3 linked regions of the Arabidopsis thaliana genome follow. The protein of the gene in region 3 interacts with the protein of the main gene of each other region in a pairwise test. Each region holds a gene or a part of one and is shown on either strand. Other genes may lie near its edges.

The links. The genes of interacting proteins can lie anywhere in the genome.
Region 1: the proteins of AT4G01920 (region 3) and AT4G15700 interact in a two-hybrid assay, tested with the Arabidopsis thaliana proteins (one large-scale study listed by BioGRID).
Region 2: the proteins of AT4G01920 (region 3) and AT3G48210 interact in a two-hybrid assay, tested with the Arabidopsis thaliana proteins (one large-scale study listed by BioGRID).

What each region holds. Positions count from the first base shown.
Region 1 is NC_003075.7:8,935,690-8,939,241, reverse strand, and holds AT4G15700 (Thioredoxin superfamily protein), read right to left. Parts: upstream 1,885-3,552; 5' UTR 1,698-1,884; coding exon 1,389-1,697; 3' UTR 1,118-1,388; downstream 1-1,117.
Region 2 is NC_003074.8:17,847,373-17,852,902, reverse strand, and holds AT3G48210 (kinetochore protein), read right to left. Parts: upstream 3,553-5,530; 5' UTR 3,469-3,552; coding exon 3,285-3,468; intron 3,117-3,284; coding exon 3,051-3,116; intron 2,905-3,050; coding exon 2,758-2,904; intron 2,591-2,757; coding exon 2,477-2,590; intron 2,384-2,476; coding exon 2,294-2,383; intron 2,186-2,293; coding exon 2,063-2,185; intron 1,945-2,062; coding exon 1,733-1,944; intron 1,519-1,732; coding exon 1,507-1,518; 3' UTR 1,118-1,506; downstream 1-1,117. Other genes in the region: AT3G48220 (F-box protein), read left to right, coding at 19-619; AT3G48209 (Plant thionin family protein), read right to left, coding at 5,019-5,222. UniProt on the Arabidopsis thaliana protein: Acts as a component of the essential kinetochore-associated NDC80 complex, which is required for chromosome segregation and spindle checkpoint activity to ensure proper cell division.
Region 3 is NC_003075.7:827,906-833,295, forward strand, and holds AT4G01920 (Cysteine/Histidine-rich C1 domain family protein), read right to left. Parts: upstream 3,384-5,390; 5' UTR 3,175-3,383; coding exon 1,198-3,174; 3' UTR 921-1,197; downstream 1-920. Other genes in the region: AT4G01915 (uncharacterized protein), read left to right, coding at 168-223, 307-392; AT4G01925 (Cysteine/Histidine-rich C1 domain family protein), read right to left, coding at 5,268-5,373.

The DNA of each region.
Region 1 (3,552 bases), 8.1 Mb from region 3:
TTTTTATTTCATATGTATATACTATAAAGAAATAGAATTTCATATGTATGTCATGTCCCTTTGACATAGTTTTAGATATGCCATAAAAAGTTTCTAGCTCCTCTCATTCTTTAATTTGCGAAAACTCGAAATCGCAAGATATAATGCATCTCAAGAATTATAATATTCTTGTATGACCACTTGAGAGGGAAAGGAAAACTATGTGGTTCCGTTCTAGCCTTATCGTCATGAATGAAATCGAATCTTACAATGTTAAGAATCAAGAATCAAAGAGAGCTTTATCCTCAATTCCACGAAATTCTGAAATCTCAAGCTTGTGGCCAAGAAGATTGATTAGTGAAGCAGCCACGTGGGGCTCAACAAAATTTTAAAGCCATAGTTTTGCATTCCTTCCTTCCTAAAAGATTATTGGTGGCCCAATTTTGATCTCAAGAGCCGTTATTCTTATATCACAATACAAGGTTATCATCATTTGAACATTACGTGATTCACGTACCGACACATTATATGTATGTAAGATGCCTATTCGCATCAAGTTCCGCAACTGGCTCGTACTGTCCTATTATTGGAATATATGTAACAATGCAAAGATTTTCCTTATATGGCAGAATCCAATTCCTTACACACTTTGTTATTTTAATGGTTAGAAACGTCATTTTTTATCATGATGTTCAACAATGTTTCTGTAGATAGACAGTGAAGAATTTAATGATTGATTTACCTTAATTCTAAATTTCTTTAATTGATTATAGAGTTGTTCTAAGATCCATATCTCAAATTTACGCAATCTCCTGTATTTTTACACTTGTAAGTTGTAACTAGCTAATTCAGTTGACAATCACGCCTAACATTTATTAACAGTTGCATATCATTGTAAGAATTTCGTTTGAAAAGTTAAGGCTTGACATTACACACGATTCAGACTCGTCATCGCTTTTTAATTTGTGGCAGATACAAATACAATATTCTTAGCCTATAAAATATGCCTTCTTCAAATTTTTAAATTAATTATTATGTCTTGGCGCATGTTCTGCATAAATAGTTATATATTCTTTCTTTTTTCCTTTACACCATAAAAAATCATCTATATTCAGTGCACGTGTATTCATTTCTAGATGCATATATGTATACAAAATTATATAAATATGAATTGGGAAAAAGGAGAAATCCAAATGTTGCTGATTTTTATTATAAAATATAAATATCTCTTAGATGCATGTTTACAAAATAGGTAACCGCATAATCTATCTTTTGAAAACTTAGATAGATAGACATATATAGTAATAAACTCATACATACATTTTTGTATATGTTTTTTTTACCTTTTTTTGTTCACATTAATAAGTTTCTCAGAACCTAAGTCATTTGCAATTCCATTTATTTTGAAGTCAAAGCCATAAAGCTCCAGCGCGCTTAAGCATTGGAACAAGGGAGCGGTTGAGATGGAGACTCATGACTTGATTGGCTCCACCAACAAGCTGCCCTCCTATGAACACCACTGGCACTGTCGGGCTGCACCCGAGCTGAGCCAATGCATGCTCTATCTCCTTTCCTCTGCTAATCTCATCGAGTTCATAGATCGTCGGGTTCACGCCAAGGTCTAAGAAGAGAGTCTTGATTGTGTGAGACATGCAGCAAGAGTTCTTGCTAAAGATCACTACCGACTTCTCGGAGATCATCTTTTGTAGATTCTCCATTAGTAATATAACGTGATAGATATTTGAAAACTGTCTTGCAAAGGAGAAAAATAGGTGTGTTTGGTCAAAATGCTAGATTAGAGATGAATATGGGAAAACTAGATAACTTATAGAGAGATTATTGATATATTTGGGTGAAAATGAGAAGTGACTCTGTGTTTTTGTGTTTGATGGAGTGAAGTGGGTAAGGTCCTTTATATATAGCTTTCTAAAGTACGTAACCTTTCTTATTACGTTGCCTTTTTCTACGAGAATCAACTTTAGCACAAATATGAAATATCTCAAATTGTAAGTAAAGAAATAAAAGAACACAATTTTAAATGATGAAAATTAAGATAGTCGAAGTATTCCGAAAGAATCTGAGGATATTATCGGTTCACACGTCTTGACTCTTTGAGTCTTTTTCCCTCTTGCAGCTAAAGAATAAAACTATCAACTAATTTGGTAAAACGTACAGAAAACAAAATCTCTCTTTGATATATATGAGGAATAATTGATACGGACGAATAATGTCATGTTTCATTAGTACGGCCTTCATTGTGAAAACCACTGATAAAAAGCAGAAATGAGTTTTATCTCTGCTAAACTCGTTTGACTTATAAAATTTCAAAATTCCGAAATATGTTTTTAGTTTCAAATAAAGTTGAAAATTGCTAATAGTGTTTACTCCGGATTTCATTTTGGCTCATTTAGGCTTGTGATAATAATTTTTGGTTTTGAGAATGTTACTTTCAATCTAAATATGTCGTCAGGAATGCGTCAAAAATATCCAACACATTATCGACATATAAATGTCTTGACGCCTATATACGAAAAGATTTCATGTTATCGTGAAGTCGTCGTTAATTGAAATTATCGGATTTCGTGTACTATACTAATATAGTATTCAAAATTAATTGAAATATTTCTTACAGTATTTTTGAGTCTAATAAGAAATTATTAATAATATAGCAATTATTTTTTGTAACGGTTATGTGTACATGATATATGGAAAAATATTTCGATATCTAATATGCTTTCAATCATACTTTATAGTATTTCATAGTGTATGTGTTCTGCTGAAAATCGGGTAAAAATCATTGGATAGCTTGGACATAGTTTTAGATACGCCTTGGACATAGTTTTAGATACGCCAAAAAGAGTTGCAAGCTTCAGTGTTTGAGAAAACTCGAGAGAGTATGAGATAATATCTCAAGAATTGTTTTTTTATAACCACTTGAGAGAAAAAGGCAAACTTTGTGGTTCCGTTTTAGCCTTACCGTCATGCATGAAATCGAATCTTGCAATGTCAAAGAATAAAACAAAATTGAACTTTATTCCCTATTCGATGAATAAGATTGCTAGAAATTCAAGCTCGTGCCCAACAAGATGGATATGATAGTATGATAGTGAAGCAACCACGTATATATATATCCTAAAACCAAAAATATACAAAAAATGTAAAATATTAGTTTTTTTTTTGTTTTTCTCTTCAAAATAGTATTAATGGTGGCCCATTTCGATCTCAAGAGTCACTTATTGTTACATCACAATACAAGGTTATCATCATTTTCAGTGTACGTGATTCATGTACCGACACATACATTATGTAATATGCCAAATCACATCTTATTCTGCAACTTGCCCGTACCGTCCTAGAGCATGGAATATATGTAACAATGCAACGTGTTCCTCTTATGGTAGAATCCAATTCTTTACACACTTTGTTGTTTTAATGGTTAGTAGCGTCATTTTCTACCATGATGTTGAACAATAACGCCCACAACTTTCTTAAATGGATAGAGAAGAATTTAATATTTAGTTTACATCTATTCAAAATTTTCTTTAATTAAAGATAGATTGTTTAAAAAAAAAA
Region 2 (5,530 bases), on a different chromosome or scaffold from region 3:
ATGGTCAATCCTCTGCAGAGTCCTACCTGAAGTAGTCGTGGCTCACTACGAATGCGAAACTTGGGGTCTTCCACGATCTCTAAGTTCTTACATCTCTTCTTTCATAACCCACAAATTCAATACTCAATTCCCAAACGTTACACTCGCCGTGGCTTACACTCATGTTGGATTGATTTTGATCAGCTCTGGCAACAAATTACTAACTTACTATGTGGCTAATCCGATCTCAAGACAATGTGTCGAAATCCCTCAGCCTCCTCCAACAGTTGGTTATTTTTTAACCTCTGGGCTTGTCACAAAACTTGAGGATCACGTCGTTTTAGGTTACAAAGTTGTTTTGATGGATACAAGTAACTTGGACGATGTCATAAGTTTACTGATATATTCATCCGAGACAGGGTTATGGAGTTTCAAAACCCTCCAATCTCATCTCACTTTGTCTGGTCTGATAGATTACAACCCTGTTAGCTTGTATGGAAACCTTTACTGGATAGGCTACAACAACGACTATGGAGAGGTTGTTGTGTTCCATGATTTCTACGCGACTGGCACGGAATCTGATCGATGCCAAGTTACACCTTTCCCTGACGGTGGAACGAAACCACCAAATTTAAAATGAGTTTGCACAACATCTCAAGGATATATCATGTACATGAACATCTTCTCCCAAGACAAAGATGATGCACATGTAGAGCATAAGTTACGTGTATGGAGGCTAAAGAGCCGGGAATGGGAAATAGTATCTGAAATATCTCTAGCTTGTAGTGAGACTGGTTTTGATTACATTCCGCTGGCAATAAACCCTTTTGATGCTAATACAATGTACATGTGGTGCAAGATGCATTCATGTTTGGGGTCTACTAATTTGCGTAAAGACAAGTTCGGGCTTCACAACAGCTTGGAATGTTGCAAAGATTATCAAACTCTGAGTTTTGCTGGGGATTGTAACATGTTGGAAGACCTTTATCACTTATACTTTTCCATGTTCGTTCTCCCGCGTTGGCTACACCAAATCCCTTCTTCGCCTTCATGAGCGAGGTGAAGAGTCGTTTCAAGAGGAACAACGAGTTGGAGAATGGTGTTTGATTTGTTTTCTTGTCTAATTTAAGATAGAAAATATGGTTGTGGCTATATTTTTAGTTTTAAAATTGCATAAACTGTACATCTCTAATGCACAATCTATGGCTCAAGTATCCATCATTATCTCTAATGCGCAATCTTAATGAAGCTAGACAAGCATCCATTAGCTAACGAAATCTAGAAATAGAGAAGCGCGAGATTACATCGATTAAAATCTAGTCCCACAAGCTCCATCATCGATTGGTGTATAAGCATAGCATCCACACTAGTAAAGAAATCAACATTGTCAATAAGCGTGATTACAATGACATTCTAATATTTATAGGAATTTCAAACAACAATCTGTTGTTGTCGAAAGTTCCGCAGCATCATCTACGCTTAAGTTTATTCCTTGATGCTTGTGAAAAGGAAAACAGAGCTCCACCTTCATTTCTTACCCTGTAACAAGTTAGAGTTGCTATATAAGTTGTATGTTAAATACTATAGGCTCCATGTGATCAGTTAAGTATTATTAATCAGATAGAACATTATTATGTCCAGTTGTTATGCAAATAGGTTCTGGTATCCTACTTTTGGAAACTATAGTATCTAACAAATATTTTGAATTTGGTTTGGTGTTGTAACATTTAAGAACACAATGAGTATCCAGTACCTTAAAGCGAGAAGAACGGCGAGTGGCAGATGTGGATACAGGAGCTAGGAGTGGTGATTCGCTACCTCTTTTTTGTCGCCGATTCACTTGAACCTTAGATCTTTTGTTTTCTGGAGTTGACATGTTTGTATCAGTGGAAAATGATATAGCTGGAGCTGAAGCAGATATGGCAGACGTTTCCTGTTGCAGTTGTCCTGAATGTGTTGGCAGCTCTGACAAAATCCAATAAAACACAAGTCTTGGTCATATTCAACTTTTATATATATCGAAAATAAGATTTCTCACTTATGGAGATAGAGGTTATAAAAGGATAGGCTTGAGACAATTTACCAGATAAAGTGGATTTCAGAAACTGCTCCCTCATCAGACGAACAAATCTGAAAAGGTCATTGGTTTTATTCAATTCTTGAACCATCTCGTTGATGTAATCCAATTGCAGATCGCTATCCAATACTGATGATCATATAAGTAAACGACTGTAAACAGTTCATATTACTAGGTTTTTTTGTAAACATTATAATGTAGTTGATGCTTGCTTCAAGAAGACATATATATACTCACGTGTGTAGATGTCATTTCCATAGTGAACTGTGAACGAAAATTCGCGGGTCGGCCTTTTTGCATCAATGTTGGTGAATGTGAATTTAACTCCTGTAAGAGAAGTTAAAACAACAAAGCTCTTTTAGGGCTAAGGTTTAGTAATATAGAACTAAGATTGTTACAAACTCAAAATGTCTCTATTACCATGTCCAGCTTCAACGTGAAAACCGAGAGCATGATTATACCAAGAGATTGCTTCATGAATATCTGCTTTGTCTTCGGTGACTTTACCAGCGTTGTCCTTCGATTTTGACAAGGCTTTATTGGAAGAAATATGTTAGCTTGGTCTTCAGTGATTCATGTGATCTCTTATTGAAACAAGCAGAGTACTTTTTATAGATATCTTCACTTTACAAAATCCCAAAGCATGTAGCTGACTCATGAAACTTGTATGTATAATGAACTTCAGAATTATATAACGATACCTTGCAACTGTTGGGAGATAATTCTCACAGAATCATCCTTCTTTGACTTCTGTAGCTGCAAATTTCTTCTAAGTACTTCAATCCTAGATTGTGTTGCAGAAATGGAATCTCTTATCCCCATTTGCCGTGCCTCTTTACGGGTTTTCACTAAACATCAAACATATAACATCCCAAAGACAGTAAGATATCCAAACTCAGCAAAACAATGTATGTAAGCATGAAAATAACACCAAGGAGAATCTTATGATTTAAGAAACTAAGTTCAAAGTTTCAAGCTTTTGAGGTAATAATACCTGCCAACACTTTAACTAGCTCATCCTCTGCTTCTCTCAGATCCGCTTTCAAATTCATTAGTTCCACTGTAAAATCAAAGAAACATTTCACAGAACCGCTCAATTTTACCAGTCTGATGTCGAAATTTTAAAACCCTAATTTCAGAGAGACAGAGCCTAAACCGTAAAAAAGTGTGAAATTTACGATCTGGGTCATACGGAACTGAGTGGTACTATGCGAATTTTGAATTTTACCTTGGCTTTGAGCAGTGGCTTGAGCTCGCTCCACTAAAGAGTTCATCGATCTCCGGAAAGGAGAAGCGATGAAAGAATCGATTTTAAGACGCTGTTCATGAATATCTTTCTCACAGATGAGACCCAGAGACGCCATAGTCTCTTTCGTTGTGTCTCCACCAGCGATGTTGCTAATTTGTTCCATCACCAAAGAGAGAAAGAGAGAGACTGAATCGAAGTTTAGCCCGCCATTTGAATTTTGATTCGAGTTTCGAAAATATGCTTCAAAACGCGAACCATCGTGATGAGAACTTTAAAACGATGGCGTTTTCATATCGTGCTACGTCCAAATTTATTGGGCTCCTTAAAAGGCTATTCTGAGACAGGCCCATTTGTCTGGTTTCTCGTTTACCGAAAGTAGTTCAGTCATCGGCAAACGTTTGATTTAATACGCGTTTGGCATCAATCACTATTTTGATTTATAACATTTTTAATCGCTCTAAATCAAAACCCTTACTTACAATATAGTTACAATAATATTATTTTTATCATACCAATTTTTCGGAAAATAGTAATATTGAATAGTGTGTGAAAGGTTGAAAATTGAACCGTTAGGATTTTAATTAGTTAGCCGAAGGAGCTGACAAAACCGAATACTACGGTTACACTTTAGAGAGTCAAAGACTCTTTTAATGCATTAACTACGTTTTCTGCATTGCATCATTGCATGTCTTCTCTTCCTTCAAGCAACTAGTCTTTTAATTAACACTAAATACATATTGAACATAACAATTCCTTCGTCTAGTTTCAATATGTATTTTCAGTTTTTTCACGTCCCTAGCTCACTTTAGACCTGCAAAGTGTTTTTTTTTTTAAAATAATAAATTAGAGTATTTTCACTATATATCAGTAGAAATGGGTGCGTATGTTTTTGATAATTAATTCAATAAAACCTGTAATGAGTAGATAAGACAATGAGTTTACTGTGTAAGTAAGCAAAAGGGACAAAAATGTGTTTTGTACATTATTTTGTTCTGTGTTTGTACATTAATTTGTTCTGTTTAGAATTTTTATAGATATTGGACCATGCAGAGGGTGTTAACTTGTTATAGCATTAACCATGTGCTAGATATATAGCATCGGAGCTTAAACGAATTATCAGTGTTAGATAGTTTGCTTGATTACTTCAACTTGAAGTAATCTGGCTGGCTTTATAATTAAGCTATTATCTTATAATTAGGCTATTATCTTTAATTTAATTGAAACTAATACTTTTGAGGAAAACTAATCGGATGAAATATTTCGAAAGAACTTTTTACATTGCAACGCACCCGTCCTGAGAATTAATGCGTTGTTGTCGAAGGAGAAAGGGCCATAAAATATGGATGAAGTAAATCGATCGAAGAAAGTCTTTATAAGGATCAAAATAAGGTTCAAATCCAATATGAATGAATGTTGACCCTAATTTTGGCCTCGGAAATCTTTATGATCATAGGAAAAAATCATTGTACACATCAAAATTTCTTATGAAAAGTAAACTGAGTTTTTGTTCATTACTCTTAATTATTGTAATTCTTTCCTTCCACAACAATAACTTATGAAAAGTAAACTGAGGATATGAGGATCTATCCTATGAGGTTTTCCATTCCTACAGCCTCCATCCTGCAATGTCGCGATAAATATAAATTATTAGTCAACACAAATTAAAAGGTATACTTGATCAATATACGTAAATATATACGAGGTTACGAATTATTACGGAGGAGCTGGAAAGCCACATTTTTCGTGAAGACATTTACGGAGACAAGGGGTCTCAGGGACAGTGATGCGGCCACCACATTGGTCGATGCACATTTGCTTGCATGTTGTTCTTATTATAATTGCTTCTCCTCCTCGTATGGATGCCATCACCACCATCATCATTATCATCATGATCATACTACATTTCTTCATCTCCATTTTTTTTTAGTTTCTTTCCTTTAATTTTTTCCCTGTAAGTGTATGTTTACGTATACATGTCTTTTTTGTCATAGGTGTGTGTGTAGTATATATAAAACTAATGTCCAGAAAAGTTAAAATCATTAATTTAAAGTTTGACTAGACTATAATTAAAAATATTAAAATTTTCTTTATTACTTTTGCAAGTTTGTTTTTGTCAACATTTTTCTTTATTACTTATAATGGTTCTAATTAGATTTCTTTTGATATATATAATTACTTTCAAGTTTCATATAATATTTATATTGAAGGTTAGAAAGAAGAAAAAA
Region 3 (5,390 bases):
CTCTTTGGATAAACTTGGATTGGCTTCACCATTGCCACTCTCCTTGGTGTCGCCTGTCCTTTAGCCGAAATCTTCATAATGCAGTAAGTAAACTGCGCGCTTCAACAACCATCTCTTTGTTTTTTATCAGAAGTCAGTCTAAAGATTGTCATAACCTGGCTTAACAGATTCTTCCATCTGTGGTACTATATATCCAGAAGCAAACATAGAGATCTTTGGCCAGGTAATAAGTGTTTATACAGACATATTCAAACAAAAACATACACATGAATACTCTGTTTCTTTTTGTTTTGTTTTCTGGTGAAGGGATTGGTTACGTGGACGACAACGTGCTACTTCGTCTACACACAGAACTTGCTACAATGGCGTCTTCAAAGCATTGTAGTTTCTGAATACCAGATGATCTGAAAGAAACAGTCATGTGTATGCTTTGAAGACGCCATTGCCCAAGACTTCTTGCAACAAGGGTTTACTTTATTACTAATGATCTGAAACAGAATGCACATTGACATTATGCTTAGGGAATCTTCTTGAATGTCTATCATGGTTATAGTTTGCTCTTCAAAAAATGTCAATCTTAGTACTGGTGGGAATGATGATGACACAACATTCTTGAGTTAAGAAGTTCTCTTTGATCAGTTGGGTGAATTTCTATGGCATCCCATCTGAAACATTAGCGTTCAATGGTACCTCCATAACCAGTAGCATGGCAGAATGTTCTATACAACGGCGTAAGTAAGATCCTTCATTCCAAAGACAAGGCATAACACGTTTGAAACAGCTGATCATATCAAATTAAAATTCCAAGATTCTTAGATAACTAATACATGCCATAAGTACCATTAAATCAACTTCTTAGAATGGAAATGAATTTGTAAAAGAAATGGTACAAGAAATCTAAAAGAAAAGCCTACTCGCTAAACATCCGAGGGTCCAAGTATCTTCAAGATGATAGGAAAAATGCAACGCAACTCACACCAGATGCAAAATGGACGAGATAAACTATTATTGAGCACCACCTCATATGATATATGTTACAACACACACATTGTATATGGAGTTTGGTGCCAGAAAATTCTTAGATATTTAATACATTAAGGAAATCAACTTATAAAGGAAATGAACTCGTAAGAAAGAAAAAAAATAACATTACAAGAAAAACCTCGACTCGCTAAACATCTTGCTTCATTTTGGGCTTTAACGGTCTGTATATCTACACTCTGCACATTCAAGAGAGCAGGAGTATTCATTCGTGGCTCCAAGTGTCTTCAAGATGATAGGAAAAATACAATGCATCTTACACCAGCTGCAAAATGGACGAGATATACTATTATTGAGCACCACCTCATATGAAGTGCCCTCAATTTTTATTGTGCTTCTTCGCATGAGACTTGAAAGGTCTCCAAGCACACACTTTGTATGCAAACTAGCCTGATGATCTTTACACGTATAGAACCATGTATGTGGATTTGTTTCTTTTTCACAAATGTCACACCAATATTTACCACTTGCCTTTTCGCCATAGCATAGTGAGAGAGGATGATCATGAACTCTATGCTTTACCATTTGTGGTAAAGTGGCGCATCCAAAGCATAATAAAAATCCACAATTATCTTCAATGCAACTAAGCACAAAGTCCTGCTCCATGTTGCAACCAGTGCACCATTGTACTTCGTCTGATGGAAAGTAATATAAGGGATGATTAGGATGACTTGGATGGATATGTGGCTCAGAAATTGAAATGCACCGAACATCGAATGCCTTATTCCCATGCTGGTACTTGAAACCATTGGACAATCTATCACAAGCATAACACCTAAAGCCTTCATCCTTGTTTGTAACCAACGTAAGACGTTCATTGTGTAGCACATGCCATTTCATTCTAAGAAATCCAGCGCAGTTTTGGTGGAGAATGAAGTTACAATCCATACAGCCGTAGAAAGACTGGAGACAGATGGGATGGGTGCATGCCTTGCACCGCTTGTTGTCATCACATAGAACACCATTAACGTTGAGTCTTAGGTAATGCTCTTTGTGACTAAAATGTTGTATTGTGTTTTCATCTATCACCACATATGGCTCTATATCTTCTGTTTCTTCGGGTAATCCTTCAAGTTCTTTCCCATTCCACACATCTTTTCTAGTAGCACATTTTGAATGAACAACATAGCCATGACACCTCTGACAAGAAAAACCTCCATAAGACCAGTCCACCTTTTTGCGACAAACTCCACATACAGAATTCACAACACCAAGAACAGAAGTTCGAGAAACACGGTGATCATGCCGGTTAATGTTGATGAGGCGTGGAAGGCCAAGACAGTCTTGATGGATCATGAAACCACATTGAAAACATACGTAAGGGCTACGATCTCCCTTCAGCCCGCAAGCATTGCATGTAAAAGAATCGAGTTTTGGGAGAAGGGTGAGTTGGTGATCATGAGCTTTCAAATTCAGAAGAGATTGTTGTGGTGGGCGCAAAACACAAACCTTGTCCAAGGTAAAGTTACACGGAGAACAATGGAAAAAAAATGTTTCATCAATCTTTCTTGCGCAAAGACGACATTTCCCATCAGAATAATCCGGTAACTGACCCTTTGCGTAGAGTTTAAGAGGGTGTAAAGAGTGGTAAGAATGGTTTACCTCTAAACGGAGTTCTAGTTCGGGCGGATACCATACGCAATCCACATGAAAGGATAAATCACATTCATGACAATTGTAAGGAAACTCATTACCAATAATCTTGCAACATTTAGCACATATACATTGCTTGATCCACTTCTTGAGAAGGGTAAGCCTGTGGTGATGCGTCTTGGAAATGTCAATAACCTCTGGTGGTGGATACTTTGAGCAGTATAAATCCATGTCGAAGTCACATAGATCACAACGATAGAATATTGGGCACATCCTTCCACACAAATTGCAGAAATTAGTAGGTCTTTCAGGTCTTAGCAGCTGAAGAGTGTGCTTGGGGTGAGATGGATGCTTGATATATTCGGAGGGCTCGTCAGCACAATTTTTTCGGACGAAAAAATCGCAGGTTTTGCAGTAGTATCCATCACTGATAGCTTCAAAGCGTCCACAGCAACCACAGCAAGGACCTCTTTTCAGATTTTTCCAAGGCATCATAAGATGCTCGTGGATCAACGGCATTAACACTCCCTTAGAATCCATGGTCGTTTACTAAGAGATTTTGAAGAAGAAGAAGTTGGATATGAAATCTCAAAGCTAAGTTTCTTTCACGTTTCTCTCTCTCTCTCAAAAGTCTTCTCTCTTTAATTTCAACGATGCTCTTATGAAAAAGAAGATTGGATCTGAAATCTCAAAGCTAAGCTCCTTTCTCTCTCAAAAGTCTTCTCTGCGTTAATCTCAAATCCTCAACGATGCCCTTACAAAATTATTTTTTTATTAGACTTTTGGTTTTATTGGTCTTTCATTAACAATAAAAAATAATTAGGCCCAAAACCCGCACCGTGCCGGTTTTTTCATGCATTTTGTTAGTTATAATAATTAATAATTTACATCAACTGAATTAATTTTATAAACAATCGTTTTGGTGTTTTTTTCTATGATTATCATTTTGATGTATCTTCTAACTCTCAAGTAAATGATTCATTCTATTTATTATGTTTATTTATTTATTTTTAGTTACAATGTTTAATATTTATTTACAATTACTTAACTTAGATATACAAAAAAATAAATTATTATCTTTAAAGTATTTTAAGGGTTTTGTGCAAAAACCACTATACCTCATCCATTTTTGCAACTTCAACCTCTACCTCCATCAAATACAGATTAATCATTAACAATATAAAATAATATGCATTATAACCCTCTTTTGCCTTTTTTTTTGTTACCAACAATTTTGTAAAATATCGATAATAATATGTTAAATTAAAACTTTCGCGAAGAAGAATTTAACTTTACCTTCAAAATTTTAAAAATCTAATGTATATAACCGTAAAAACGTTTACAATATATATATATATATAAAGATCATATTTTGTATTATTTTAGACTTCATAAAAATAATCTGCATTTATTGGAGGTAGAAAATAAAGTTGCAAAATGGATGAGTTAGCACAAAACCTTATTTAAAAGTAAACGGAAAAATAGTTTTACAATATCAATCATTAGTATTATTTTATTAAAATGAACCACTAGTTTAAAATAGTCAATTTTTAATTCTTTAGTCGTATCAATTAGCACTATTTATATAAAAAATGAAAATGAAAGAAATCTAAAAACATTGGATTCGGATCCATTTTTAAACTCTGAACTATTTTTTTATGAGCTGGATATCTCAATTATTTTTTAATTCACTAGATCTTGGAATTAATATTCATATTAACGTTTGAAACAGCTAGATCGTCAAAGTCAAAATTGCAACATTCATAGATAAATAATACATGAAGGAAATCAACTTATTATAATGGAAATGAACATGTAAAAGAAATGGTACAAGAAATCTAAAAGAAAAGCCCACTCTCTGGACATCTTGATTCATATGCATTACATAGCGCAATAACCAGTAGTTGGCATTATGTTCAATACAACGGCGTAAGTAAAGATCCTTCATTCCAAAGACAAGGCATAATTGTTTGAAACAGCTGATCATATCAAATTAAAATTGCAAGTTTCTTAGATCTAATTTCTTTTTTTTTTCTTTTCAAAAGAAAGACACAAATCTTGGCTTGCCTTAAAACGTGTGTACATGTTGATAAAACATTTTCATTTCGGTCTCTAGATTCTGCGAATAATAATGAATGGAGTCTGTGTTTGGTTTCATGTTGAATCAATCAAGATGTGTTTTTAACTGTAAATGAATTATGCAGAAAACATCTGTCCTGGTTCTCAGACATCGGAACTCTGTTCCTAATAAAAACTGAAGTCCCTGTTTTTATGTTAGTAATCTGAAACAACAATTGTTTGAAGACGCCATTGCCAAGATTTCTTGCAACAATGGTTTACTTTCTTACTATTTCTAATGATCCTGAAACAGACTATACAATACGTTGAGAAAGAAGCGAAAAGCTGACAATCATGATAATGCAAGACTGATAGTATTGTGTTGTTCATTTTCAAGGTGAAATTTTGTAGAAAACGAATGTCAGAAAGCATTTGAAACAGCAAGATCGTATCAAACTAAAATTGCAAGATTCTTAGATAAATAATACATTAAGGAAATCAACTTATAATGGAAATGAACTTGTGAAAGAAATGGTTACAGGAAATCTTTAAGGAAACCCCACTCGCTAGACATCTTAATTCACACTCATTGCATTAGCGCAATAAGGAGAGCAACAGTATTTTTGTGAGGCTCCAAGTCTCTTCAAGATGATAGGAAAAATGCAACGCAACTCACAACAGCTGCAAAATGGACGAGA